Alligator mississippiensis: one gene and its partners. The protein of the gene in region 3 purifies or fractionates together with the protein of the main gene of each other region. This does not show direct contact. Links are inferred from orthologs where the notes say so. Each region holds a gene or a part of one and is shown on either strand. Other genes may lie near its edges. The genes, in order: YAF2, SKP1 and BCORL1.

Region 1 (9,728 bases), on a different chromosome or scaffold from region 3:
AAACATCTTTCATTTTACAAACGTTATACACACAGAAATTACTCTATTCAACTCTGAAACAGTCCACTACAGAGAGAACATAGTTATTAATGAGCAACTAAGTAACAATAGACAACAACTGAGGCTAGAAAATGAGTAAAGCGTGCCATATATACTAGGCAAATTTAGGTCATGAAAAAATTGACCCATATTGTCATTTGGCCCATTTCATTTGTCAAAAGCAATAGGATTTTTAAATAGAAACCAGGACCTTAGTTTTATATTTTATTCAAATGACAGCACATCGAAATCTGGCACCATGCTAAGGTATTGATTTAGTACTAACCCAAAGAAAACAGTGCCATCTAGGAAATCACTATACTACTTCCTCTAGCATCCAGTGGTTCTCTTGGAGGTCTCCCATATAAAGTGCAGCCCAGTTTAGGCATGCGAGATGATACTGCCACAGACAAAATTAATTTAACTTCATGACACAGCCTACTTTAAATGCTCTGCTTCAAATATTCAGTATAATTCAAAAATATATTATAATACAATTTTTTTTTTTTTTTTTTACTAATCTTAATTTTTTCAAGTCTTTGAAAGGGTCAATGCCTTTTCATTGGCCTAAAAATGTGGAAATAAAAAAATTAAGTTATTCAACACTGGAAATATGTCAAGACACAAAACGTTAAATATAAAATTAATTGTATGTCCTTATCAACAAAACAACAGACAGAAATACAGTCTAATATTCAACTGTTATCCACTGGCTTTCAAAAGCAGTAATATTTGCTGATTGTGATTGGTTGCATTTTCCCCCCACAACTTTGAATGAATGTTATGACACTTAGCACTCCCGAATACAAGAAGTACCAAAAGACAAAGCGCAGGGTAACAGATTTCTTTAAAATGCCAAGGAATTTCACCAATAACTTACAATATATTATAAGAAGCTGTCATCTTGGTGAAAAATTGGACAGAGATTTTGAGATGTGAACCAATCCCCGTTAAGAACTATGCTAAGGCCATAGTTTAATTTATGAAAACATGTCATCTGAAACAAAAGACTAGAGAATTCACTACTGCCTCATCTCAACCCAATGACAAAATTATTTTGAAAATGACTAATCTTTCATCAAATACAAAACACATGTTAGTTTGTTTTATGTATTATATGGCCCAAATGTTCAGATGTGACTTTGTTTTGGATTCTAAACAGAACTGTGTAGATGCATCTCTAGGCCAGCGTGAAGCCCCAGATTAAAAAACAGCTCTCTATGGGAACAAGGGTTTACCAACAAAAAACCAACTCAGAATCAAAGCTTACAATCTGCATGCATGTGAATCATGTACCCAAGTATCTAACAGGTATGAGTAAATCCAAGACTTGGCATAATGACAACGTAGAAATGGGATCCATTTCAGTCTTATAGGGAAAAAAGATTTCAAACAACTTTGTTTTTTTTAAGTGGGGGAAATGGAAATCAATAAATCTACTTAAACTGTGCCTAGCAAAACTTCACTAAATAATGAAAAACAAAATTAAATCTTCATTTTTTTTACTGTATAATATCACTTGTTTGCCAGAGCTCTCTTTTACCCAATGCCACCTTTAAAAATTAATACTTTTGTTCAAGTGATTTTCCAGAACAATAAATCACTATTTTAACTGGCTTTGACTCCTTAATAAAGGCAATGAGAGGCTGTCATCTTCATTTGTACTAAACTTGTTTGGGGAATTTTGCACTCACTCTTTCAGCATTATAATTTTCTGCTGAATGTTACTGGTCTGTAAAAAAAAAAAAAAAAGGTATAGCTGTGAAAACTGATATAAGAATAAAGCCAATCTTCTTTTTGTCACTGAATAACACCATATTCATGAGATGTATTTTTGCTTACCAACCATACCTGACTGATTTTCTCATAAAAATTCCTTCTACAAACTACCTTTTTAAAACTAACCTTAAGTTATTAAAAATACTTTAGAAAGTGAATTACGTTTTTCACAAATCTAATACATGCACATTGCAAATGCAGATGAGTCTTTCATATAAAGTTAATCTATTCACTTTTGCAATTCTGTAGTTCAAACACTGTTTTATCATACGTTTGTTGATGGAGTTGTATTCAGTATTTCCATGGCTGAAATAAAGTTTACTTCACTCAATAGGACTGTGGTTTCTATTATTTTTAGACTCGTTTTTGTTAATAGGATGAAACAATAAGCATAGTCATACAAACTTATACACACAAAAGACTGCACAATTGTATTCTTGTTGATTCTGCAGAATTCCCCATCCTCCTATCCAGGTTCCACCCTACTAATATTAACCTACAGAGACATAGGTCAAAACCAGTGAAATCACTGCACCATTTTGACAGAAAAAGGGTCTTCTAATAAGTCACTGATTAGTCCAGGCAGGGAGGTGGGGGGCTTCTGCATCCTATAATTCAGCCCATTTAGGCTCCTTTCCAGAAAGAATAAATTCCCCACCTCTACAGAAACTAAATCTGCAGGACAAGGTGGAACAAAATGGACAAGAGAATGGGCAGGCCTTTAAAAGCAGTAGCTTTCCACCTTATTAAGACTCAAGGCACCCATCAGGAGGCTCAGGGCGCCCCTCAGGAAATAGCCGCATCTTACTTTTCATTCCTCTGTTGCCTACAGAAAGACAGGAGGGCAATTCTTCCGCTGCTGCATGCTCAGAAAGACCCCAACAGGCCAGACTGCCAACCATGCCGCCAACTTCTTTTTGGAAACCTTGTGGCACCCTTGGAAGAGTCTAATGCACTGGGATACACGTGTGGTGGGGGGAAGCACTCATGGGCACCGTCCACAGCCCCTTTCGAAGGATCTGATGCACTGGGATGCGTGTGGTGGGGGGAAGCACCCACGGGCACCCTCCGCAGCACCCTCGCAAGAATGCGATGCACTAGAGGCGAAGCACCCACGGGCACCCTCTGCTGTACCCTTGCAAGAATCTGACCCACTAGGGTGCATGTGTTGGGGGGACACCCACATGCACCCTCTGCAGCACCCTTGGAAGGATCTGATGCACCAGGATGTGTGTGGTGGGGGAAGCACCCACGGGCACCCTCCGCAGCACCCTCGCAAGAACATGACACACTGGGGGCGAAGCACCCACAGGCACCCTCTGAGGCAGCCTGACAAGACTCTGACCCACTGGGGTGCCTGTTGGGGGACAAAGCACCCACAGGTACTGTCCGCAGCACCCTTAGAAGAATCTGACGCACGGGGGGAGGGCAATAGAGGGGAAAGCTCCCATGGGTACCCTCCGCAGTACCCTTGCAAGAATCTGACCCACTGGGGTGCATGTGATGGTGGGAGCACCCATGGGCACCCTCTGCAGCACCCTTGTAAGAATCCAATGCGCTGGGGTGCGTCTGGGGGGGAAGGACGCATCTGGGTGAGAATCACTGCTTTAAAGGGAGACAGATGAGCAGGACAAGGTGGGGGGATGGGGCTGGAGAGGGCAGGGGCGGCTGCATCCGAGGGGAAACGGGAGCAGCCCCGGGGCCCGGATCCGCCTCGCCCTGCGCGCCAGGCCGCTGTGTCCCCCCTCCTCCCAGCGCCCCCGCGGCCGCCGCCGGCTTTTGTTGTGCGCGGCGGCACAGCTCGGCGCTCCGGGGTCCCGCGGGCCGGGGCCGGGGCGGGCGGTACTCACCGGGTGGAGGTGCCCTTCCTCACATCGCACATCATGCACTTGAAGGCCTCGGCGCTGTTGCGGAAGGTGCAGACGCTGCAGTCCCAGTAGCCCTCGTCCGAAGAGGGTTTCGGCTGCCGCTTCGGCCTGCAACGCACACCACAGCGGGAGGGAGACAGGCGCGGCGCCCAGCCGCCCCGCGCCCGCCCGCCCTGGCCCCGGCCCCGGCCCCGGCCCCGGCCCCGGCCTCCCGCCCGCGCGGCCCCCGCCCCTACCTGGTCGGGCTCTTCTTGTCTCCCATGCCGGCTCCAGACGCGTCCGCAGCCCGGCCCGGCCCCGCGCCGCGCGGCCCTTTGTGTATGTGTCACTGAGGAGGAGCGAGCGAGCGAGCGAGCGAGCGCGGGCGGGCGGGCGGGCGGGCGGGGGAGGGAGGGAGGGAGGGAGGGAAGGAGGGGGCTCTGCCTGCACCGGGCCCCGGGGAGGAGGAGCCGCCGCCACCTCCAGCTGTCGGGGAACTCCTGCCGCCGCCGCTGCCCCCTCCCGCCTCACGTGCCGCCCGCCGCCAACCAGCGCCCCCCGCAGCCCAGCAGCGCCGGAGGAGGCGGAGCAGCAGCGCACGCAGGGGCAGTCAGCGCCGCCGGCCCGCCCAGGGGGAGGCCTGCACGGCCGCCCTGCGCCCGGGCGCGGGACCCCGGAGCGGGCGCTCCCCTGCTGAGACCTGGGGAGGGCAGGGAGGATTCCCCCCTGCTCGGGCTGTGGGGCCTCTTCCTGGGGTTTCTGGAGGGCACGTTAGCCCTTGCCCGCGCCGTGGCCCTGCTGTCCCGGGCTGCGCTGGGGTGTCCTGTCTTGTGGCAGGGCTTGTTTTGCTAAATTGTTCTGGGATTAGGGTTGGCAACCCTGCAGGATTGCCCTAGAGTCTCCCGGATTAGATACAGATCTCCAGGAGAGCCACCTGGGAGATAAATGATAGGGCATTCCTTAAGCTAAATATTAAATGTTGAATCTGACTTATACAGTAGGCCCCAGTGGGTTTTTTAAATGTAATAGGAATGTGCATTTGCCTCCCTGACCTCAACTCTACGCACAGCGCAGGCCACTGGTGCCTCCCCCTACACATCGCCAATGATGCACGGTAATGTGTAACTGATACACACAAGTTCACATTGTCTGTCATGGGCATGTGGGTGTTCCAGGCACCTCCTGGAATAGATGCAAACAGAGTTGGGAACCCTAGTTGGGGTGGGGCGGTTTGGGTAGGGGTGGGCCTGCCTTAGGCAGGGGAGTGGCTGGACCAGTGGTTTTCAATGTCTGAGGGGCCCATAAACATGGCTACCAGCAGTCACAAGGGCTCCACTCAACATTTTTTAGGGATCTGCAAATGGAAAAAGGTTGAAAACCATTGGACGAGGTGACCTCTGGGGGTCCGTTCCAGCCCTGCTCCTCTGGGGTTCCAGTAGGTGAGAGAACAGACCTGCTCTGCAGTGATGGCACGTGCGTTTCATGCAGGCTGTAAACACATTGCTGTACTGTCCACCTTGCATACCTGTGACAGCCATTTGTGTTTACTATTTAAGACAGTCTGTGCTGTCATGTTGTGTCCTGTATAAAGGCTGATGGCAGGCCAAGCCTCAGAGAGCCAATATTCAGTCCAAAAGATCCAATCCTTCCACCTCTTCAAACTTTACTTCTCCTTCTCATGCAAAGACCAGGCCTCAGAAATCCATGGGTTGGTCAGCTGGATAAGGGTATCCATGGGACTGGATAAGGGTATTTCCCTGAATATAAATCTGAAAGCAATGTGGAGGTTTCATAGCTAGTGCAGAATGAGGCTTCTCACCTTCTCTGTGGGGTGGGCAAAGGGCTGGCTCAGTATGCTACTACTGCTACTTCAAGGCCTTAGTGGGCGCATCTACACAAGATCTTAATATGTTTTAGACTAAGTCTAGTGCGCATTAGCGTGGCTGGCAAAACTGCGCTAATGCCCAATATACTTAGTGTAATGCACTTTAACATCACAAAAAAGCGTTTGCTGTAATGCGCGGTAGCATCAATTACAGCACATTTAATACCTATCATTACAGGTAGTAAACTTAATGTGCTGTGATTACGGTGCATTAATGAACATGTAGACATGCCCAGTTATTCTCTTCTGAGGAATTAATTGATCTGGCCCTGAGTAAATTCAAGACTATATTACCATCTAGGGCTAGGAACTTCCAAGATAGCTGCATTCCTCTGGAACAATGTTGGTCAAAGCTCAGGACAAAGAACACAAAGCCACAGAGAATGAAGCATTCTCTGTTGATGACAAATGGAATAACAATCCAGATGACATTTAAACTAATTCAGAATCTGATCATTTCAAATCGGTGTGGAAACCCTTCCTTCTTTAATCAAGTTTTCACATTATTCTAGAATGATATTTGTAACAGCTAGCCCATTCCATGATAAAAATGGTACCACTCCCGTGAAGGTCCATTAGGAAGCTAGCCATGGAACTGCATTAGGGTGAAAAGCATTCATATATTCAGGACAATCCCTAGGCAACACAAATTGGGGCAACTACCCTGGGCCCCATGCTCTGGGGGGGGCCCACAGAGCCAGGCGGAGCGGCCGCGGCGACTCCATGCTGCCACCAGCTTCATGTCTGGCCATTTGGCAGTCCCCACACTGCCTAATCTGCTGCTGGCTTCCTTGCGTCCTGGGGTAGGGCCCTGAACAGGCTGATTTGCCTTGGGCCCCACACCCCACTCTGATCATCTCTGCATATATTAATATCAGCAGTAAGCCAGAATGCCTCAGCTCAGGTGTGGCAGGGCACTGTTGGTGTCTGCCACGTTAAGGGCTGAGACAAGCAGTCAGCAGGTGCTTGATTGTGGCGGCCATTTTAGATCTCTGGCTGCCTATATAAACAGAGCAGTTCGGTACTGGCAGGCTAGATAGAAACATTGCCTGGCTGCAAGGCTGTAGGTAATATCCTGGTGGTACAGGCAGGAGCTTAAAGGGATGATTTGGAGGTTCCTGGTCCTGGGCATGACCTAAAACTGCACCCTGCTGGGAGTGGGTGGCCTGGTGGTGCAGGAACCCCCAGGAAATACCAGGCCAGTTACCACCCCGGTGAAAGGTGGGTTGGGGTGCCTTAACTCCTAGCCCCCATAATACTATGGGTACAAGGGGGCCAGGCATGGCTATGGCCACCTGAGCCCAAGGATGGTGTAAGACCCAGACAGGGCTAGGCATGGCTGCAGCCACCTTAAATCTCCACTGGGGAGGGAAGCCCTGTGGCCCCAGTGAGGGGGTGGGTGTGGAGCCCCAGTGAGGGGGAAACCAGAGGGCTGGGAGCCCAGTATGTGTGTGAGTGTATAGAGTTGCCTAGTATGGGGTGCAGTTAGCCTAGGGTTTGGCATAATGCCGGACCATGCAAAGTAGGGGAACTCATGGGAACTGAAGGGGCTGCGTGGTGAGGCCAGTGTGCGAGTAGCAAAGCCTGATAGCCCAGAGGAGTTGCTCGAGGAGGAGCAGGGCAATGGAGTGTGGCCTGGTAATGAGCAGTATGCCAGAGGCCTGGGTGAGAGAGGGGCGGAGTGGAAGAGGCCTCCTGTGAGAGGGGAGGTGACATGAATGTGCATGTGTGTAAAGCCCAACTTTGGACTTGGTTTGTTCTGGTCTGAGGCCAAGAGTAATATTAACCTGGATGCCATCTGTGAGGCTTGGGCTGTGGTGTAGGGGAGGAACAGAGCTGCAGATAACGCCCCCTGGCATCAGGGCAAGAATAGGCAGCCTTCCGCCTAATTAACACCATAATTATGTATCATCAAGGTGTGGCAGATGAGGAGGCAGGCGGTTGGCCCAGAAACAGGTGGGTGGGCCAATCACAGACCAGCCCCGAGAAAGCCCTGTGTTACATCAGGTCCACGGTAGGCCAGCGCTAAGACCTGCCCATGACTGCTCCTTGCCATAGCTGCAAGGTCTTGGTGCAAGTGTACCTTCTCCCTTCCCTCCCTGCACCTTAACTCCTCAGGCTAGATCTGAAATTGTGGGCTATAGGTGAGAGAGGCATATCTGAAAGAGGGAGAGGCAGATCTGAAATTGTAAGCTAGCTCACCCTCAGGTCCCCATTCCCTGCAGCAAGGGCAGAGGAAGGATGTGGGAGCCTGGAGACTTGCAGCCAGAGTGATGAGGGAAGCAGCAACTGGGTGAGATCTAGGGCTGGGTGGGTCACACGCACAGATATATTTTTGTTGTTATGGATTCTTAAGTACAAATAAAAAAAAAAAAATATTGCCATGGGATCCTCATCCCTGAATGGGACTCCTAAAAACTGTGGGAACAGAAGTTATTGTCTTCACACAGTTAATTCAAATTAACTTTAAACTTCCAAAACCATCCAGAGTCTCTTGCCCTGGCTTCCTTCCCACCCCCAAGCCAGCATTCACAGTTCTGTACAGCAGTGATAATAGTTCATTCCTTTTAAAAAATTTTAAGTCTGAATATCCTGCTCTATTTGGTATGTGGGGTTTTTTTGGTGTTTTTTTTTGTCCTGACTTCTTCCAGCCCTCCTCCATTACAGTCCACCAACACCATCACTCTTCCTGCCCTCCATACCCTTCACCGTATTACCCTATTACCCTTCCCAGTTCTTTTGCTTTTGTTCTTTCCCTTATACTGTCACACAGAGCCTAGTCTGCATGAGGGATACAGCTTAGGGGCTCCACTGCTGAGCTGGATACGTAGTGGGGGGTCCAGTGCTCAACTGGATACCTGGATGCTGTGAAGAAATCGTAAGATTAGAAACAATGGGAAAACCTGACTCCTTGTGCCCTTTTCCCTCTTGCCCTTGCTCCACTATACATAGGAACATATTCTTTCTTCCAACTGAGAGAGCAATGATTTTGAAATAACCTCTTTTTCTTGACCTTTTCTCTATCGCTACAAATTTTACAATAGAAATTAAAAGCAGCAAAAAAAAATGTTTCACCACCAATTACAAAACCCTGGGATATGTTGTAACCTAGCAGTGGCAATGTTTCTCTTTCCTCTGAGGGACTGTTTCCTGGAAAGAACTTCTGTGATGGTCAGCCACAGTTGCCAACCCCACAACTATCATTCCTAACCAAACTTGGCCTTAGGGAAAATGGCACCCTAGGCAAACTTGTATTTTGGTGCCTCCCATGCTGCCCTTACCTCCCTCCACACCCGCCCCCCTGGGCAACTGAAATATTTACTACCATATATCAAGAGACCATATTGTATCACCCAAAAGCCAGAACCAAATTGTAAAACGGTTGGATCTTGCATGAACAGGCCTGAAGAATGTTACATTGTTTTATGGAATTAAGATACAGTCCTGGGGCCTGATTGACCACCACATTATACTGGTATAAAACCAGTATAACTTTATTAAATAATGGTGAACAAGTCTTTACACAGCTGAAACCTGGCTTTATAATGTGATTGTAACTGTTTGGTTCAAGGCACATTGGCAAGACAAAAGTACATAAATTAGAGGACTCCTAAGTTATAATATTATTCCATGGCATCTTTGCTATACAAATAAATCTTCAAAAGAGAGATTTTTGTCTAGTGTTGATTTCTATGACTTAGTCATCTGTTGCCTACAGGACTGGCACCACCATTTCACATTTGACACTGAATGGTTGTCAAATAAGAACAACTTCAGTCACTTTTTGTTTCTAATGTATTGGGTTTGGTTAAACTTTATTTTTTTCATTCTTTAGTGAATTTAAAAGGTGTTGGGTTGACAGCTCTGGACTCTAAAATCCTACATTTATTTCCAGTAAGCAGTTAGAGAACAACCTCGCTCTGTGCAACTAGTAGGCCTCAAAGACAGTCCTGGGTAGAAAGGATCATCTAGAAATAAGAAGATAGCCTGTATACATATTCTATTCATAGCCTCCTTCCTGAGACTCCCAACAAAAGTGGCAACTGTAACAGTGGGTTTTGTGATGTGGCTATCTATCCATTAGAAACTGCCAGTTCCTTTCATATAGGTCATTGAAGAATCATTCATAAATAATGATACCACTTCACACTTGTATAGCACCTTTCCTAAGAGGATAT
Region 2 (9,548 bases), on a different chromosome or scaffold from region 3:
TTACCATTGGGATCAACAAATCTAATTTGCTTTTCTTAGAGCAAAGTAACTAACAATATACAGTAAGAAAAAGGCTATTCTTGTATTTCTCTAAGCAGGTAGGAATTACCTAATTTTTTTTAGCTACATAACACTTTCTTCTAAAAATAAGAGCTTACATCATTACTGTGATCCATGTTAGTGGTACAGTATCCCTCACTGGCCACATCCACAAGAATGCAGACATCTTGTGCCACTGGTTTGTTGTCCCCAGGGAACACCAGTGTCACACACCCTCTGGCACGCCACAAGTTACCCCAGGTTTGGTAGGGGAGGCTGAAGCCAACACTGGGATGGCCCCAGCAGCCTTACCTGGGGTCCTGGGGGCTCCAGCAGCAGAGATCCTACCACTCAGGAGTCTGGTCAGCAGCCCGAGCATGGCTCCAGCCAGCCAGTCTCCAGTTTTGGGCAGTATGCCCAAAACCAGATCTCCCAGGGTCAAAAATCCTCTCACACTGCTACCTTGCCACGCAGAAAACACCTGAATGTATGACGGGTAGAGCCGCAGATGCGTCTGCTGTGCCACATAGTGTACAGCCACACTCATTTGGATGTGGCCACTAGTTCCAAATTAGGGTTTTAAGTGATACAGCAAACCTTCCAGAAAACCCAACATTAACAACATGATTAAAAGCGGCCTTAAAATTAAGGCACCTCCTCCATGCAAGTCATGGGCTCTTCAGATTAAATTAGATCTAGAAGCACTCTTGAAGTCCTGGTTTCTTGGCCAAGCCCCCTTAGAAGTGAAGTATGCTTGGCATTGTATTTTTGTGAAAGCTTGCCCATGGTATACTCAAGAGAACTTTCAGCTAGAAGTGCACTGATCCATCGGTCCAATATCAGATAAGCACCAATATAAAGAAGATTGGCAGCATCAGAAATTGGCCTGATATGGCTGATAAATGGCCCATGCATGTGCAGTCACAACACAGCACGTAGGCAGCGAGGATAGCCCCGCAGCTTGAAAAGCAGTGTCCAGCTAGTAAGTCTGTTGTGGTGAAAGGGACCGGGGGGGGGGGGGGGAGGGGGGTGCACAGATCAAGGCCCCCCTGCAGAGAGGGAAGGAGAGAGTGGGGCTGAGGCAAGCAGTGCCCGGCCACAGCTCATCCGGGGGGGGGGGGGGGGGGGGGTGGCTCCCACCCGTGCCACTCGCTTGGGGGGGTGGGGAGGAAGAGGCGTGTGCCCCTGGATCGGGGCAAGTGGCAGTGGCAACACTGGAAGTGGAGGCTATGGGGGGGCTGCAGCCACCCTGAAATTCACTGTAGTCCCCCCATAGCCCCACTCTCAGAGCCACCTACCCCAAGCTCAGCCCCAGCCCCGCTCACCCCACGCAGATCCAGAGGCACACACCTACTCCCCCATCCCCTATGCCCTGCCAGACAAGCAGCTGGAGCTCCCAGGAGAGCACCAGACAGACCCCTGCACTCCCCAGACAAACCACAGCTCTGTTCTGCCCCAGCTGGGCAGCCCTTGCCCCATGATAAGGGAGGGAGTGGGGCTGGGGCACCTGGGTCTGCCCCCCACTCCTTCCCTTCCACCATAAGTCTTACCAGCTGGATGCAGCTGTATCAGAAATCAGATCCATATCAGCTAATATGCCTCCTCAAAAATTAGCTATCTGTATGAGCCCCAAAAACCTCTATCAGTGCACCCCTACTTTCAGCACCTGACAACACAATTGCTTCTTAATGCATTTACCTGTAAGAAAAGGCTCCTGTAAAAGGAGTCTATTATAACAAAATTTAAAAGACAGTACATTCTCAAATCCATGCTGCAACCAGTAATGTTTAAATAACTTACTGGTTAAGCTCCTATAAAAAAAAAAGTTACAAGCATGATGCAGATGTTACTGGATAAGGCTCTGAGTACCATGCATGCGATTAGTTTAGCGTAAGAGTCCCTTCTAGCCCATGAAGTCTAGAATTGCTTCAAATAACGTTCTTGAAATCAAACTGCTTATTTTGGCAAGAATCAGCTTTAATTAGTTACAACTAAGATGTTTGTTGTAAGGTTGTATACATCTTGTTTGCCGGTTCTTTAGCCCTTCGCATTAGGGTGCACACAATGGGATTAGTCTAAAATAATTGGCTTTTATACAAGTTAGATTTGTTTTAGTAATGCATTCATCCAATATGTTTCCTTGCAAAAAAGATAAAGTAAAATAAATCAGTATGAAGCCATTTTTGGCCTTTATATGTTTTGTTTTGCAGAAGACTGTCAAAATAGGTTAGAGATCCTTGAGCAGGCAACTGAAAAGCAACCCTTAAGCTACGCATCCTCAAATAGTCTGCAAACCCATTTAAGAATTGTTTGGGAAAAGGCTTTTAGGGTAAACAGAGATCACTCATAGATATTACTCAACTGATGCCTGCTTGAAATACATACACAAAATAAAACAAACAAAACAAAAATACACAAACTCTTGAGGGGCCTAGGACCTCATGGATTCAAAATTACTGCAGTCAGAGCAGCTGACCAGCTATATGACTTTCAGCTCACTTCCATCTGCTTGACAGCGAGCGCTTGCTGTAGCTCATCACAGCACTGCAACAAACGCAGGCCAATGGAGCCCAGCCAATGCAGGTTGCTCAGCAGCAGACGGTAGCCATAGATCTTCATGTTTGAAAGGAAGAAAGTAACCTCTTCAAGTTTACTTGGCAGAGCTGCTTCATGTTGATAAAACACTCTACCTCCAAATGCAAGTATTACCACATCTTAGAGAGATAAACTTAGAAGAGACTAACAAACTCATTAAAGTTGGGCCCCATGTTGTAGCAACACATTGCTGTGTCATCCCCAGGAAAAAAAAAGAGGCAAATATTGAATTTAAAAATGTTAACTTCTTACCACCAAGAGGTCCAACCCTGCAGTGAGAAGCTGAGTTTGCTCAAGTACAAGTCTACCTTCCCAACCGCTAGGTAAAATAAGACTTCGAACAGGCAAGACAACTTACAATCGAGGCTCATCCCCAATTTTATGAGGGTTTTTCCGTTGGTTTGTTTTTGGACTGCGATAGGTTTAGGCTCTGTTTGTATTGCGCAGGCGGTCACTTAAACTCCAGATCAAGGAAATTTAAGCCAGTTGTTTTACCTCGATTATCTAATAGAGGTTTTGTTTTGCTTCAAAGATAGACAGACGGACAGACGTGGGGCTTAAAAACACCGCAGCCCATCCCCAACGCACCACGGCTATATCATCCCCGCGTTTCCCACCTACCGGCGCCGCGAGCCCTGCGTTTGCTCGGGAAAGAGAGTGAGATGCTCGTAGCAGTTTTCACCCCAAATGCACTAGTCCTCGTTAGGAGCCGGAGCGCGTCGACCGAGGTTTTCCCTGCCCGGGATTGACGCTCCTGCCCGCGGACCCGCTCCCCTCCCCTCCCCCTCGCGCTCAAGCCCACGACTCGGCCGGCTCCGACGGGCCACGAGGAGCCGGGGGGGGGGGGGGGGGTCCCCGCGGCCTCTCGACAGGGCTCCAGGGTCCCCCCCTTGAATGACCCGGGGGCTGAGCCTGTCCGTCCCTTCAGACCAGGGCTGCGCTTCCGCGGCCGCCGGGGCCGGGCGAGAGGAGCAGCCCGCGGACCGGGGTGACTAAGCAGAGCTGCGGGCGGGGACCAGGCCCAACCCCCCCGGGCTAGCTCCGCAGCGGCGGGGAAGCAGACCAGGCCTCCCCCGTCCCCTCCCCGGGCCGGGCCGGGCCTCACCGTGCGGCTACAACCGGGTGGCGGCGTCTCCTCAGGCCCGACTGCGGCTGCAGCGGCGGCTTTTATGGGGGCGGGGCGGGAAGGAAGGACCCCAACGAGCGCTGCCTCACAGAGCTCCGGGGCTGCCCGCGCAGATCGCCTGAGCGCTCGGGGCAGGGAAGTGCGGCAAGCTGCACTTCTGAGAGGAAATAGGGGGTGAGGGGGAGGGTTTTCGAAAGGTAAACATTGGGGGCGGGGGAGTGCAGGAGCAGCGGGGTCCTTCAGGCAGAGGCTGTCCGCAGCGGAGACGCGCTTGGTAACAGCGGGCGCCTCAGCATGGAGAAAGGGGATGGAGGGCGGGCGTCCTCACCCGGGTGGGTTTTCATCGCATAAGCTCGACCCTCTACCTCAACCCCGGGAGCAGCTCGTGCAAACCATGAGAGAGCCCAGCTTCCACAAGGACCAGGGCAGTATAAACAGATGCTATTTGCTGTCATCATCCCATTGCATGTCTGACTCCTGCAGGGAAAAGCAGAGTGCAAACTTGATCGGCTATGCCTTCAACTCTAGGGTTTCCTCCGAAGGAGTGAAATGTCCCTGTGTTACATTGGGAGGAAGGTGGCTCAAAAAGAAGAAGACTACTGCGGGGGCTGGGGGGGAACGACTGTTGAAGGGCAAGGATCAATTGGCCAAGCAACGGTTAAATCTAAAAGCTGCACCGACAGCTAGAATTGAGTGTGTTAATGCTGTAAATTACGTTAGAAAGGGAGATGCCACCTCTACTGCAGTGCATGATTGCTGAGGAAAGATTGGCCTAGTGCCCTCCCTTGCAAATAAATTGCCAAGCACTGTTTGGCACGGTTCTGTATTTCAGTGCTTGACAGAGAAACCCTGAATTATTTTCAAGGCCCAGGTAGGTGCCCCGGTTGCGAGCCAAAGCACTAAAACTCAAGATGCAAGAAAAATTATGGTGAAGGAAAGTTAAAAGGCAATATATTCATTTAATATCATTTCAGTTTCTTTAACTAGCATTTCAGACAAACGCAGTGAAATCTTTGGCAACTACCCAGCAGACCAGCGAATGAGGTCTCTACTGTCTAATACATGGTCTTAGAAATGCCAAGGATAATTTAAAGCTGCTGCTTCATACAATTGGCAGCTGTAAAGTGGATATGCATAAGCAATACTAGTTGGAGGACATTTTCAACTGATGCAGGTTTGTGTGGCACAGAGCTAGATGGTGGGTCTGTGAGTGAGACCACAATACATTTAAGCAATGAGCCCGCAAGGAACTCCATGCAGGTGGATGCAACCTGCCCACCCTAACATTAGCAAAGCTTCGTGTAAACAGATGAGGGATGGCAAAAATGGAGCTCTTAAATAGGATCAAGCTCTTAGAGCTAAAACCTCAGGGTATTTAGGTGTCAGGGCACATCCAGCTGAGCATGGACCTGTCTGTGGAGCCACACTACACAAGCAGGCGTTCCTTGAACTACTACTTTGTGGCACAGGTGTTTTTTGACCCTGGGAGATCCTGGGGTGAAAAAAGCCCCCACCAAAAAAAAGAGGGATGGTGCATGTGGTGGCAGTGCACGCCATCCAAAACTGGAGCTTGGCTGGCCGGACCCATGCTCCAGCTGTCGACCAAGCTCCCTGCCACAGAAGCACCATGGCTGCAGGTGCTGGAGGTCCCCAGGGCCCCAGGTAAAACTGGCACATATGGGACCAGCACATATGGGCCAGGTAAAGCTGGCACATACAGAGCCAGCACAGTTGCTGGCCTCAGCTTCCCCTACCCCACCCAGGGTAACCTGCCACGTGCCAGAGTGCACATGGCACGGGTGTTCCCCAGGGACAAGTAGCAGTGGCACAAGGTGTCCCCAGGGAAGCACACATTTCTGCTTGTCTGGATGCACCCATAATGCCTAACACCTTGGGGAATCCTTAGTCAGACCCTGTATACAATGCAGAGAGAATTAGATGCCTTCAACAAGGATCCTGAGAATCCTGAGCAGGGACCCAAGAAAGATGAGCAGGAGTGAAATAAAAAAGAAAGGAGCACCTAAGCCACTGACCTGATTAGCATTAGAGAGTTTCCTCTTCTTGAGACCTTGCTGTCCTAGAATGAGGTGCCTACAGAGGCAAAGTCAGGCCACCTGGAATTCACCCCTGCTTTTTCAGAAGTATGCCCTACCACTGCGTTTGGTCTTGGGGATATAGAGACATCAGAAAAAGCTGAGAGCAAAGTGGACAATACAGACAATATGGCAGCCTGGTAGCTGGGATCATCAAAAAGTAAACAGCATGGTAAAACAGATGGCAAAGACCTAAAATTATACACATGATATAAAAAAAGACATCTCAGTTTAAGTCTTCCTGTTCTGGCACACTGTGTAATATCCTGGTACTCCCTCTGACATTAAAGCGTGTGTGGGAAAGATGGTTGGTTGGAACTCAGTAACTGAGAATTTCTGGGATATTATAGATACCAAAAAAGTTCTCATCCTTCACTAAGGCAGCTGAGAAAAGGATAAAAGTTATCAGAGATAATAGGCAGAAACCTGAGCAAGTATGTTAGAGAGGTCCTAAGCACTACCACAAACAAATCTAAAAAAAAAAAAAATCTTAAAATCAGGGCCTTCTACTACTGATAGACTATTAACCAAAAGTGAAGCAAAAAAGAAGAATGAATGAAAAGAAATGGATGAAATGTTTTAGCTACTGAGATAAGTATGAGTTAAATTATGTCACTTCCAGGGCAAATAATCCTAGTATTTTTCAGCATATAAACAGACAACAGCATTGGGTGGAGGGCAGAAGCCCACTGAAGAACTGATGTATTTCTATTCTATTTCTGGCTCTTCTGCTGGCCTCTTAAATTAATCACTTCCTCACTGTCTGCCTTGATTTCCCCACCTGTGAGATAGGGATAATGAAACCAACTTTCTTCTGAAGTTATTTGGAATCCATCCATATAAGCACCTGAAAGGACTAGTTATGGTTATAAATCATATATTATAAATGCCGGATCCTTGAATCCTATACAGAATTATAAGCTTTAAAGTTTCATATGCAGTACACAGCATGGAACTCAGTTTGCCCTTCCTGATTGCATGAAAGTCAGAGACAACTGCTAGGACTGAGCCCACAGTTCAAGGGGTCAGACTTCTAGACATCATGCTCAGCCTTCAATACCATTTGTGGAAAGTCAGGAAAAGAAGGTGTTAATTCAGAAGCACCTATTTAGGATTAACAGATTATTTTAGTAAATCCTACCTTTCCCACATGTAATAGAAATTAAAAAAAAACAGTTTTTTTAGGGATATGAACAGGTAGGAAAGCAGGTATGTGTACATTAATTTTCACAGCCACTGAACCAGTCAAATGCACTTGGACTTACTCTTCTGAGCCATTTGGCAAAAGGTTATTGCTTCACTCACAGGTAGACTTCTACGATTTATTCTGATTTCAAGTAACCCTTCAACCCCATAGTGCAGCTACCATATACCCTTATTGCATTTCTTGTTATATATTATTTATGCAAAAAGACTGTTGATAGTTCAGGAGAAAATAAAAAATGTGCTGCCGTGATTACAGCACTGCCAGTTTCCATTACTTTAAAAAATTGTCTTGCAGTTGTTCATGACTCAAATAGAAAGCATTCTATTCCTTGTGCCATGACAATGTGAGCCAGCTGTCAATAGTTAAATACTTTTTTCTCGCCCTAGCAGAAGATATTCCAGATCGATAGATCCCACTATGCAGCCACAACTCCACAAAATTCTAATGAAGCCATACAAAGTACAAACTATAAAATCAGAGAACAGTAAGATTATGGTAAGAGACAACAATGTAAAGGTTGAAGCCACTTCTGGAAACCAGGAACTTTGCAATTGTAACCTCTGCTCTGCCACAAACTTCATGCAGAGCCTTGGGTGAGTCACTTGCCCATTCAGTCTCGTTTTCCCTGTTTGTAGAATGGAGAATACAATCCTTACCTACCTCCCAGGATGCTGCAAGGATTAGAAGTGCTAGAGAAATGCTTTGGAGAGGTCAAATATTTTACTTTTAAAAAGAAAATTCAAAATGAAGCTGTAACTCAAAATGTATTTGTAATGCAGACTGACTGACCCATCCTTTTGTAGATATTTAAGACACCCTAATTACCTTGGCACTTCAGCAGTTCTGTCCTAAAGTCAGGGTACATACATTCACCAGTTACTAAATTATTGCATGGTCTGCAAAGTTGAGTAAACAATGCAATAATAATACTAACATAACTTGCTTCCCACAGAAAAAATCAGGAGATTTAAGTCCAGATATTGTAGGTATGAGGACTACATGAGTACCTAGAGAAGTATTATCAGATGGAATAAAACAAACACACACCATGGACACCCAAACTTTAGGCATGGGAGTTAAAAATTACCTCTGAGATATGTACACCTCAGGTGTCTGTCTGGTACTAAGAGACAGAGCTGCTTTAAATGGTACAAAAGTTCTGCAAGGTTCGAAAGAGGCTGCTTTTGAAGTTTAGGTAAAATTGGGGGGAGGGAGGGGTGGGAATTAAAGCTCCCATTACAAGGGGAGGGGACAAATTAATCTTAAAACCCTTAAAGTTTGTAGGCCACCTTTACCTACCAGACACAAACATGGATATAAAACCACGCATGTCACCTATAAATGGGAAAGTTGGAAAAGCAACAGCTACAGATACAAAACTGCTGATGAAAATATGCTCTTAGTTTATCCACCAGGTGGTGCCAGGCTTAACTCTGACATGCACAGACCTAACCGACCAAAGGGGAAGTGTCAGGCACGAGCCTGTGTGCTGCAGTTCCTCCACTTGCAAACAGTTTAGGCTTTGGAATCAGTCATTTGGAGAATTAATGGAATCTCTCACCTTTCACAGATTTTTTGCTGTAGCCATTATAGGAGATAGGACACTGGGACAAACAGAATAGCAGTCCATTCCGATACAAAATCGTGACAAGAACAAATGTCAAGTCTCTCTCCTGTTATCAAGTGAGGCCAATTCTTACATTCTCAATGGAAAGGATAGTTTAATGGTTAAGACACCAATATAGAAGAAGATGGAGCAAGGGTCTGTCCCTTGCCATGCAACCATCACTAAATATAAAAGCGTTTTCCTGCAACATAACATATTTTGCCTCTTTGATGCATTAGAAGATATACCAAATTATTCTGAAACAGCCGTTGAAAATAAACTCTTAATTAAATCCCTGTACTCACAGTGACCTCTACAGAAATAACTTTTTGGCCTATAAAGGTAACAGGGCTGTTGTACAAAGGTGGAGGTACTTAAATTAAAACTTTGTGGGATGTCTCTAATGTTAACAGACTAGACTGCCATAGGGACCAACCTTTTTAGCAGGTGTGCCACAAATCACCTCTGCTCCCTCCCCAAGCCTATTCCTATCCTCTTTCCCTGCCTGGTCAATGAAACAGGTTTCTAATAATCCATGAAATGTAAAGGAAGAGACTGCGTAGATGACATTTAATGGAGTCCCACCATGCAATACCTGCTGCATTCCCTCACAGCAAAGGTATACCCTGCTCTTTAGAAAATCTTTTTATATGAACTGAATGTAGGCAGCTGATGCTTTTAGTTAGCCACTACACTTCTTATAGTAGCCCTGGTGGAGTTCTAGGCTAAAAAAAAAAAAAAAAAAGCTTTTTGTATTACATTGTAGACAAATATGCCACTATATGAAATTCAACCAAGGGTCCATTGCCTCTCTAAATGAATCTGCCAGTCTTTATCAGGAGTGATGGATGAACTATGAACATGCTTGGTGACCTTTTGTGA
Region 3 (9,766 bases):
GTTATCCGCAAGGCCTGCTTCAGACCATTCCTCTGCTAATATTATTTGGCAAAGCAGACAGAAAAATGCATATAGCTGGGCTCTAGGTTCTTTAAGAACACCATAAACCTTGTCTGTCTGCTCTCCCTCCTCTTCCTCCTGTGATGGGCTCTCAGCTTCTTTCTCTGAAGTGGAACACACTAGCAGCATGTCTTGACAAAAGGACACTGAGAATTCCCAACCTTGGAATTTTTCCCTGTGTGCCCTCCTCTGTAGCAACTACTACAGAGGATGAGCACATGGCTACTTTCAAAAGGTGCTGTACAAAACTTAGCCAGAGGCACTGTGAAACACCTAACATGGGCTGCACTTTGACCCTGGAATGCACTTACAGTAGATATCTTTGCAACACTCAGTCTCTGATCTGAACAAAATGTGACATACATTAAGAAAGAGTAGCAACATCTGAGACCCATACATATATATTTTTTTAATTCCATTTGTTCTGAGCACATCAACAACCACTTGGTAGTACACATGGCACAGAACTTCTGCTGGAGAATCTAACTGAAAGTGACAGAACAAAAGTGAAACTAACTTCACTGACTTCTCAGTGAAACTTACAGAAATGCCAAAAGGAAACAAACTGCATCACTTAATCATCACATTTATTGTTAGTGTTCCTTTCAATTTAGTAATCTTTGATGCTATTGGTAGCACAAGCAAATAATAAAATTTGTTTACAGCATGGCATCTTCGAGAGTCCATTTGAAATGTGGTAGCCCGCTCAATGATAAATCCAAAGAGCCTTGAGAAACGTCCCATATGCATTTCACACAAACCATTTTAACTAACCCATTTGCACTGGGAGAAGGACAATCCTACTGCAGGCATTATACATGGCCCATGAATCCAGCTAGGAAAATGGTTTACAGAAGTGAATGCAAACTGTGTTTTTCTCTTGTGATCACAATACTTCCCTTGAAGAATTTAGAACTGTAACGCTGACAAATGTTTTACCTGTCTAAAACCAAATGGAGTCTTGAATAAGCCAGATCATATCTAGTACTAACTTCAATAGGACCCGCTCATGCTAAATTTGGCTGTTAGACTGGATCACAATCTAGCCCTAACCATGGGCCTTCAACTTTACTAACTAATGTTCCAACCCAGACACCACAGCTACTGCTGTGCTGAGCTAACCTTTGCCTGTATGTATTCACTTGTACCAGGTCAGAGACACAGTAACACTATAAGTAGCAGCAAATGGCTAGTATAATGCACTGAAAAAGTCATCCCCACTTTAAGCCTGGAAAGTTTCCTAAAAATTTAGCATAGTTTAAAAAGCAAGTCCCCAATATTTGCTAATGCTGCATCTAGTCACTCAGTCTCTCATGGCAAAAAGTCCACCCCTACAGAAGCTTTCTATAACAAATTCATAAAGTGGACTGGAATAAAAGCTGGGAAACCTTTACAAAATTTGACATCCAGAAAAAAAATACAAAATTTATCATTTTATTTAAATGTTTCCTAACTATTAGGTATGACACTAAATCAAAACATGTACCACCCAACCCCATTTCAGCCCCAGTTTTTCAAATTCCTCCATTTAATTATTTGTTAAAGGTTTGGTCTATTAGATTCAGTTTTCTACTATCTCCTTGGTCTGCTATTTACAGAGTTAATTCACATGGTGACAAAAACACTGACTCTAGGTCTATACTAGTCCTCACATTGTTGATGCCCTTGTTAATCTGAACTGATGGAAGTAATGTGAGAAATGGTAAGAAAAAAGGCTAACATGCAAACAGCCCAAAGTCTCAAAGCTGCACAGGTAAATAAGCCCCTTCATCCACGCAGTCTCACCAACTTCATTGACACTGCACATGGGCAGCACTCTACCTTGCAAAAAATCAAGAGCTGGTGCTCCCTTGACCCAGTTCCATCCACCATAAAAACCAAGATATTTTAATCCATTTGCCTGGGATCAGCTGTAAACTTTCCAAGTTTAACTAAAGGAAGGCTTCACTTTCCTACCCAGTGAGGCTGTTCAAAGACTCCTCCCACTGAATCCAAATATGCCCTTCATCTTTAACACGTCAAGAACAAGTCTGCAGCAGTCCCCTACCCTCAAATACAACTGATCCTTAGAAAGCAAAATTGGTCAAGGGTGACAGCCACTCTCTGGCACCCACAAAATATTTTGTACGTGATTGCAGTAGTTGAGGCCTGTACCTGTCTCTGCAACAAGCTGCCTGCAAGATCATTTTGACCCAGAGGGAAGAGGTCTCTCTTGTGGAGTGCCAGCATGGTGCAGATCATAGGTGGCCAGACTAGGAGGGGACGGAAAGGCATGAGGTTCCATTCCCTATTCTGCAACTGACCTGCTACATGACCTTGGGCAAGTCACGTCCCTCTCGGCCTGTTTCCCCTTCACCTGTTATCTGCGTGGTCTAGTTATCCTGTCAGGCCGCTGGAGCAGGGGTGGCCTGTTAGGCTTAGTCTCTACTTAAAAAGTTCTGCTGGCACAAGCTGGTTGGTTAGGAGTGAAGGGGATGGGGCGAAATCACACCCTCAGCCACTACAGCCATGTGGGCAAGAGCTCCAGCATGGACACAGTTCCACTAGCAGAAAAGTCCTGTGCGGGGAAAGGGAACGTGACCCCTGGGCTCAAGATCTCCAGTGCAGGCAAGCCCTGACCCTAATTAGGCGTGGTGCCCAGCCCCATATGGAGGGAGGCTGCCACAACAAGGCTAGTAAGGAAGCACAAGATTCTGGCCCACAGCTGTGCTCTGAGAAGCTGGTCCCCAACCCCTCCTCAGAGCTTTGCCTGGATCTTCTTCAGCTGGGAGGTGCAGGCTCCGGGACCCAAGGGTGCTGTCCCCCACAGCAGCCGCCCCAGGTGAAAGGGAGGGGACAGGCAGCTCTCCCTGCTCCGCCGCCTGGCGTCCCCGCCCCAGCCCCAGCGGGCGTCGCGTCCAGCGCCAAACTCTGCCCGAGTGAGGGGCGCCTTGGCAACAAGCCAGGGAGCGGAGCACGGCGCCTCGCCAGCAGAACATGGAGCCGGCTTCCAGTCCCACCGCCCCCCCCGCGGGGCCCGGACAGGCCCGGCCCGCCCTGCCCGCTGCGACACGGGGCGCCGCGGCCGGACCTCGGCTCCACTGGCTTGGCTCGTCCCGCCCCGCCCCGCCCCGCCCCGCCCGCGCAGCCCGCGGAGAGGAGCGGAGCGGAGCGCAGCGCAGCGCAGCGCCAGGCGCCCCGCGCCTCCCCCCGCCGCCAGCAGCCGTCCTGGCCCGGCCCGGCCCGGCCCGGCCCGTCGCGTCGCGCGTGGCAGGTGCGGGGTGGCGCGCGGCTGGGCAGCCGCTGCCCGCGGAGCCGGCGCCCCTGGCAGGGACGTGCGGGGAGCGGCGGCGGCGGCGCCCGGCCGGGATCGCGACTGTGCCCCGGGCCGCAGCCCCGCGCTGTCACCGCCCGCGGTCCCGGCCCGGCCCCGCCCGTCCCGCTCCCGGACGCCGCTCCCCGCCCGCGGCTGCATCCCACCCGCCGGGCCCCGCGCCCTGCCCGCGGGGTCCCGGGCCGGTCTCCATGGAGACCCCGCCCGCTCCGTCCGGCGCCCCCGGCGGTGGGTGCGGGGCGGACGGGCCCGGGGTGCCCGGGCGGCGGGGCCGGGGTCCGGCGGCGGCGGCGGCCACGCACCTGCTCCCGGGCGGCGGCGGCGACAGGGGCGGCCGAGCCGGGCCGTGCCCGGGCGGCGGGCCGGGGCGGACACTGGGCGCCGCGAGCGAGGGTCGGCGGCGGCGGCGGCGGCGGAGACACTGGCAGCGGCAGCCGGAGTGTGAGGGCGAGAGCGAGCCGCCGCCGCGGGGGCTGCCGGGAAGGCGAGTCCGGCTGCCGCACCGCCCCCGCCCCACCGCCGCGCCGCCCGGCCCCGCGGACTACAGCTCCCGGCGTGCCCCGCGCCGCCCTGCCCGCACAGGGGGGGCCGTGCAGAGCCAGCCGAGTCCGGAGAGGGAACGGGAGGGAGGCAGGGAGGGGGCTCCGCACCCAACGCAGCGCGGCGCGGCGCAGCTCCGCGCGGCCCGGCCCGGCCTGGGGGCAGCCCCACGCCCGGGAGCGGCCGGCCCCATAGGGGACCGCCGCCGCGCGCGGGGAGGAAGCGGGATCGAGTCCCGAGCGCGGCGGGGACGGGCGCTGCACGCCCGGGGCGGCGGCGGCCGGACGGCTCCGCGCGGGGACAGGCGGCACCTTCGCGCCCGGGACGGCGAGATCCGCCGCACGCGCCACGGCCGGGCCGGGCCGAGGGACCCGCCCCGCCCCGCCCCGCCACGGGCTCCCTGCGCGGCGCGGCGCGGCGCGGCCCGGCGCTGCCTTGCCCGGCGGGGGCCCCGCGTCGCCGGGCGCCGCCGCGCCACGGGCCATGTCCCCGCCGCGAGCCGGGAGGGAAGCGGAGGCCGAGCGCGAGCCGGGACACGACGCGGCCAGCTGGGCAGGAGGCCCCGCCAGCCGGAGTGGAGCCGCCCGATCAGCCCCATCCTCGAGCCCGGTCCAAGCTGCGCTTGTCACTGGGGGAGGCGGCCCCGCCGGCCGGGCTCCCCGGACTGGTAGCGCCGCGGGGCGCCCGCCCGCCCGCGCGAGACTTAGCGCGGAGCCGCCCGCGCCATGCGGGACCGAGCGGCACCGCCTGCTGCGCTGCGCCCGGCCCCGTCGCCTGCCAGGCGGAGCAGAAGTTTCTCAGCGGCCGCCCCGCCCCGGGCACCGCGCTCGCAGGCCCCGGCCCCTGCGCCACCTCCTCTGCCCCTCCCGCCCCGGCCCCTCGCGGCCCGCACGCACCGCCCGAGCCGCGCGGGACCGCGCCCTGCCCTGCCCTGCCCCGCCCTGCCCCCCGCCCCCTGCAGCCCCAGCCGGGCCGAGCACGGCTCCGTGCGCTGCGCTTTGTCCCTCGTCCTGCCCAGAGCTGCTTGCGCCCCGCTGCCGCCCGCGTGTCTTCACCCGCCCCAGCTTCCTTGCGTGCTGTCCCCGGGGCCCCAGCGCTCCCTCGGCTCCGTCCCCTCTGCCTGTCCCGGAGCATCCTGCCCCACGCCCGCCCGCTGGCACGGCCTCCTTTTCCACCCCTGACCTGAACTGAAGCAAGTGGCTGCCTGTCAAGGCTCACCTATTCCCCATACAGTTACTGCAGAAGGTGCAAATGTACCCAGCCTTCTGCCTGTCTGCTCCACCACCCCTTCCCTGGCATGCCCTGCCCTCCCCTCTGCAGCCTGGGCTCTTCCTTTTATGGCCCCAGGGCCCTGCCCCTTCTGCTGCCCCTAGGTGGATCTCATCTCTGCTAAGGTGTGGGCCAAAAGCCATAAGTTCCTCCACTTCCGTCCCCCTGATCTCTGTCCCCATTCCTTCAGTCCCTGCCCCTGTGCCCCCCAATGCACCTCACACCAGAGATGTACCCCATTCTGCTCCAGTGTGCTGGCCTTTCCTCCTCTGAGCTGCAAGGTTTTCCCTGCCCCTCTGCTCTGAATGGCCTACTGTTCTCTCTAACATCCCTACCCGCAGAACTTTCTTTTTATCAGAGAGGGGCCCCGCCCTTGATTTTATAAGATGGACAGCGTCTGAGAGCAAGGGACTACTGCTGGTGGGTTCCAGGTTCTAGGGCTTCCTTTTACATACTGTGTTCAACTCCCCCCTTCCCCAATGTCATTCTGACTTGCCCTCCAGTTTGACAAATTTCTTCCACAATTCACCAATTTCTGCAGGGTTGGGGGGGTAAAGGCCCATTATATTATCATGTTTCTGCATTGAAATGGTTAATGAGGTATGAGGGAAAATGACTTCTATAGGCAATTTGTTGTTATACATTTTCTAGGTCTTGGCAATTTATAAATGTGGAATCTGGTTCCAAGATTTGAAAATCTTGGTTAGGGCTGGCTAGTCCTGCTTTTCTGTGAGGATAACTTTCCTCAGCTATGACCCTCATGACAGCTGGTAGGATCAAGAAATTGAGCACAGACAGAGCCTTCCCACAGAAATATTCCCCAACAAGAAAGGAGAAGACCAAGATCCACATCAGGGCTGTCCAGCTAGTGGCCTACAGGCTGCATCTGGCCCTCAACAGGTTAACATGTGGCCCTGGCTCTCACCAGTCGACACCACCTCCCACCACCCATTGCTCCTGCTGCACTGTGCATGTGGTCTGCATGTCACTGGGGTGGGGGTGGGGGTGGGGGGGCAGAGTGGGAAGAGGACATGTGTTAACACCCTGTGGGCTGGATGCAGCCCAAGGCCACCAGTTAGACAGCCCCCATGTAATCACAGGGTTCAGGAAGGTGGGTCATGAGGTGTGCAGCCTCCACAGTATGCAGTCCTCATGAGGTGCAGTCCAGGGGCCTGTGACAAGCAGTGTGCAGGCCCCAGCTGCTCAGAAATTAGACAACCTTTATCTACATGGCATTCAGAACCAACTGCAACCCTCTACTTTTTGGTTTAGCTTCCCTTCTAAGCTAATCTCATGCAGACAAAATTTCCATGTAAGAGGGGAACAAATCCTATGAACTAATTGAGCTACTTTTCCTGCAGGCTAGCATGGTGATTGCCATTTCTCTTTTCAAATCCTCTGGAGGTATTTGGATCTATAAAGGTGGGGTTCTGTAAGTACCTAAGCTAGATAGGATAGGAGTGCTGGCTGTAAGGACTGAAACTTTGAAATTGCAGGCAGCAATGAAAGCTACAACTGAGTAAAATGTAAAGGGAAGGCAATATTAGAGGAAGGCAAAAAGCAAGATTACTGTCAGCTAAGTGATAACATTCCTTTGCACTGCTTCAGTCTCAGACAAGAGACCTGAGTGTGAGCAAAGGCCCAATAATTATGCTATATTTCCAGTCTAAGCCCTTCGCTACCCTGTCCCAGCCCAGTGGGGGCAGAATGGGAGTCATATGTTGTTTATTTTAAAGATAAATTCAATTCTACTTTGTCCATTATTTTTACATTTCCAATGAACTGCAGATTTTTGCATTACCTATAGATTTCTGTAGTGGCTTCTCCAGAGATCACTAGAGAAAGTTGCTTTCGGCAGCATAGGCTTTTAGCTCTCAAAAGAGTGTGGGGTTTGCTGTTTCGGGCCAGTGAACACTGACTATGGGGAGAAAGGAAACATACTCTTTTCCTTTCACTTTGGGAAAGTAACTAGGAATTTGGGAAAGAATATATAATTTTTTTCTTTTCCATGTTAGCCCTTCCTTCCCCTTTGCCATTGCTTATCTTGGTCTTTGTGCTCCCTTCCCTAGTGGTTAACTTGGCTCTTGTTCCCCGCTGAGGTAATTCATATGGATGTAAATTCAACCAGTCATCTCTGCTCTTTGCAAAAGCACTGGAACAGTCTGAAGAAAAGACGGCCTTAACTTACCAGAGAGATACCAACAGTGCTATCCCAATGAGAAGGGAATGAGAATTGTGCTGCTTCAAAGGTAATAGTGAGGATGCCCACAGAATAGGATATGCTGCAGCTCTGGAATTTTTACTATAGTCTTGTGGATGGACTTTCTGAAAGCAATGAGTTGTGTTTTATTTTTCTAAGAATTCTGCTTTGGGACATACAATGCATGTTGAGAAGCCAGTGGAGGGGTGAATACTGACTTTCTTACAGTTGTTAGCTGCTGCGTCGTTTTACCAAAATCTACTGTTTCTAAATCAGCAAAGGCCGTTCATTTGTCCTCAAGGGTTTTAAAGGGGTTGGTTAAGAGCTATCCTGAATCACTGATGTTAATAGCAAATCATATTTTGAAAAATTGGGAAATTCCAGGAGAATGGAAAAAAATCAGGGTTGTGCCGACACTGAAAAGATAGCGGTAGATACCTACTGCTTATTCTGTGATGTCCTCAGCCCAGAGTTTGCCAGCGTATAGGACATCATCATTTTCAAACTTTCTAAAATCACAAAACCCTTTCATATCACTTCTGCTGTGGAACCCCTACCCCTGGCTCCGTGGGCTATATGAGTTGATTCAGAGCTAAGCAACCTGGCCCAGCAGTGGTGGCACACTATCTCCCGGCCCACTCTGCCATTACCCCCGATCTCTTTGCAGAATCCCTGATGACCTATTGTGGGGTTCCATGGAAACCAGGTTTCCATGGAACACAGTTTGAAAACCACTGATTTAAACCAACTCCTTGGGGAGTGGGGAGCTCCCCCTCCTGTAAAGGAGACCATGCTAGTGCTGCTGCCCAGGAATGGGGGACCTCTGTGATCTGAGGAACTGGTGTCTTACCCTTCAGTACAACTGCAAGGTCACAGCAAAGACTATCTTACTGTTGTTGGGGTCTATGCTATCAGATATGATTCACTCTGACCAGACCTCCACAGTCCTAAGCTGGTTCATCTTAGACAACCTGCTCCTGGCCTGGAGCTTCCTCCAGCTAACAAGTAAGGATGGTCACGTGCCTTCCTGTCCTTTGACTAGGAGAAATTATAGTGTATTTGTACTTTGACAAGATGGACCATGAGTGTCTCATAGAAATTGTTCAAAGGTCCAGCATCAGTCACCATTTTTAGAGTTCCTCTGCATGCTGTAAGCCTCTGCAGGGTTTGATAATGCTCAGCTGGACCCTGACAGAACCTGTTGGTGTGGATGGAAGCTTGCCAAGCTGTCATTCAGCATTCTCCTCTGCTTACCCTCTTTGACTGGTCCAAGAGCTCCAGCATGATGAAGGGGGATGAGTAGCAAGTGGGCTCCCTCCTACCTGTGCTCCATACCATCCATTGGGTTGTGCATATGCTGCCCTACGTGAACTTTTCTGCCGCCAATCCCTCCCTGTGGGCCACCTGAAATGTGCTGGAGGCCAAGGTGCCAGGCTGGTTTCAGAAGTGGGCAGGGCTGCTGCAGCGCCTTTCAGGGGATTGTGCTGGTTATCAACCAATTGGTCCTGTCTGTGATCTAGTACTAGCTCAGCCCTTGTGCCCATCCAGAGGAAAGACTCAAAGGAAGGTTCTGGAGCAATTCTGGCAGGGGCTGCGCTAGGTCTCTGCACTCTGAGAGAAGGTGGGGATGGCCAAGTTTGCATGTTGCAGCCAGGATCATATGGTCTGTCTCCAGGCTCTGCAGATACTCTTCTATAACACTTATAGTCCAGCATGAAACTTCCTGCCACACATCTTCATCCACTGGCTCTGAGGTAAGATGTGACTGACAGCTACTCTGAATAGCTGATCTACCAGGACTTCTTTTGGGCCTGGAAGTTCATCACAGCAGATACTACAGAGGACCTTCCCCCAGAGCCCCTGTTTTACAGTCCCACCTTGAATATATAGGGGTTTGAGATCCCCTTGTGTGTGATTCATTCTGAATGGTGTTCCCAGTATCAGAGCCATCCTAGACCGTGGTCAGCAAGCCTAGGTGGATTCCATTATGCTCCCCTGACACATGGAGTGGCCTGTCTGCCCCAGGTGTCTCCAACCAGGTGCTCCAGGATGCAAGGGACACTTTGTCTCTAGCCACATATTTCCATTTCAAGCAAGTCCTGTAGGAGAGTGTTCCTACCTACCCCAAACTCCCAGCTCTCTGAAACTTATCACAGGAGCCCCTGTGTCAAGAGCCTCCCTGACTACCTCATGCACACCATGTAACTTAGCTAAAATTGAATCATTTAACTTCCAAACTATACCCTGGAAAAATCTACACTCTTGTGCCCCTCATGGTCTATTTCCTTGCCCTCATGTCCTGCCCCAACACTGACTAGTTGAATCTCATGCCACCAGCAGAAGGTGAGAAACTATGCAGATCTAGTCTCTATTCTAATCTGGTC

What was found.
Region 1: the proteins of BCORL1 (region 3) and YAF2 purify together in Homo sapiens (affinity purification with mass spectrometry; 5 studies listed by BioGRID and IntAct, counting the BioPlex papers as one, with this or other methods). This does not show direct contact. The link is inferred for Alligator mississippiensis from reciprocal best matches to the Homo sapiens genes BCORL1 and YAF2.
Region 2: the proteins of BCORL1 (region 3) and SKP1 purify together in Homo sapiens (affinity purification with mass spectrometry; 3 studies listed by BioGRID and IntAct, with this or other methods). This does not show direct contact. The link is inferred for Alligator mississippiensis from reciprocal best matches to the Homo sapiens genes BCORL1 and SKP1.

The regions. Positions count from the first base shown.
Region 1 is NC_081827.1:58,021,448-58,031,175, forward strand, and holds the start of YAF2 (YY1-associated factor 2), read right to left. Parts: upstream 4,176-9,728; 5' UTR 3,949-4,175; coding exon 3,923-3,948; intron 3,795-3,922; coding exon 3,669-3,794; intron 1-3,668. UniProt on the Homo sapiens protein: Binds to MYC and inhibits MYC-mediated transactivation. Also binds to MYCN and enhances MYCN-dependent transcriptional activation. Increases calpain 2-mediated proteolysis of YY1 in vitro.
Region 2 is NC_081832.1:70,029,181-70,038,728, forward strand, and holds the start of SKP1 (S-phase kinase-associated protein 1), read right to left. Parts: upstream 3,848-9,548; 5' UTR 3,740-3,847; intron 1-3,739. UniProt on the Homo sapiens protein: Essential component of the SCF (SKP1-CUL1-F-box protein) ubiquitin ligase complex, which mediates the ubiquitination of proteins involved in cell cycle progression, signal transduction and transcription.
Region 3 is NC_081831.1:40,004,484-40,014,249, reverse strand, and holds the start of BCORL1 (BCL-6 corepressor-like protein 1), read right to left. Parts: upstream 3,759-9,766; 5' UTR 3,676-3,758; intron 3,115-3,675; exon of another isoform or gene 2,215-3,114; intron 1-2,214. UniProt on the Homo sapiens protein: Transcriptional corepressor. May specifically inhibit gene expression when recruited to promoter regions by sequence-specific DNA-binding proteins such as BCL6.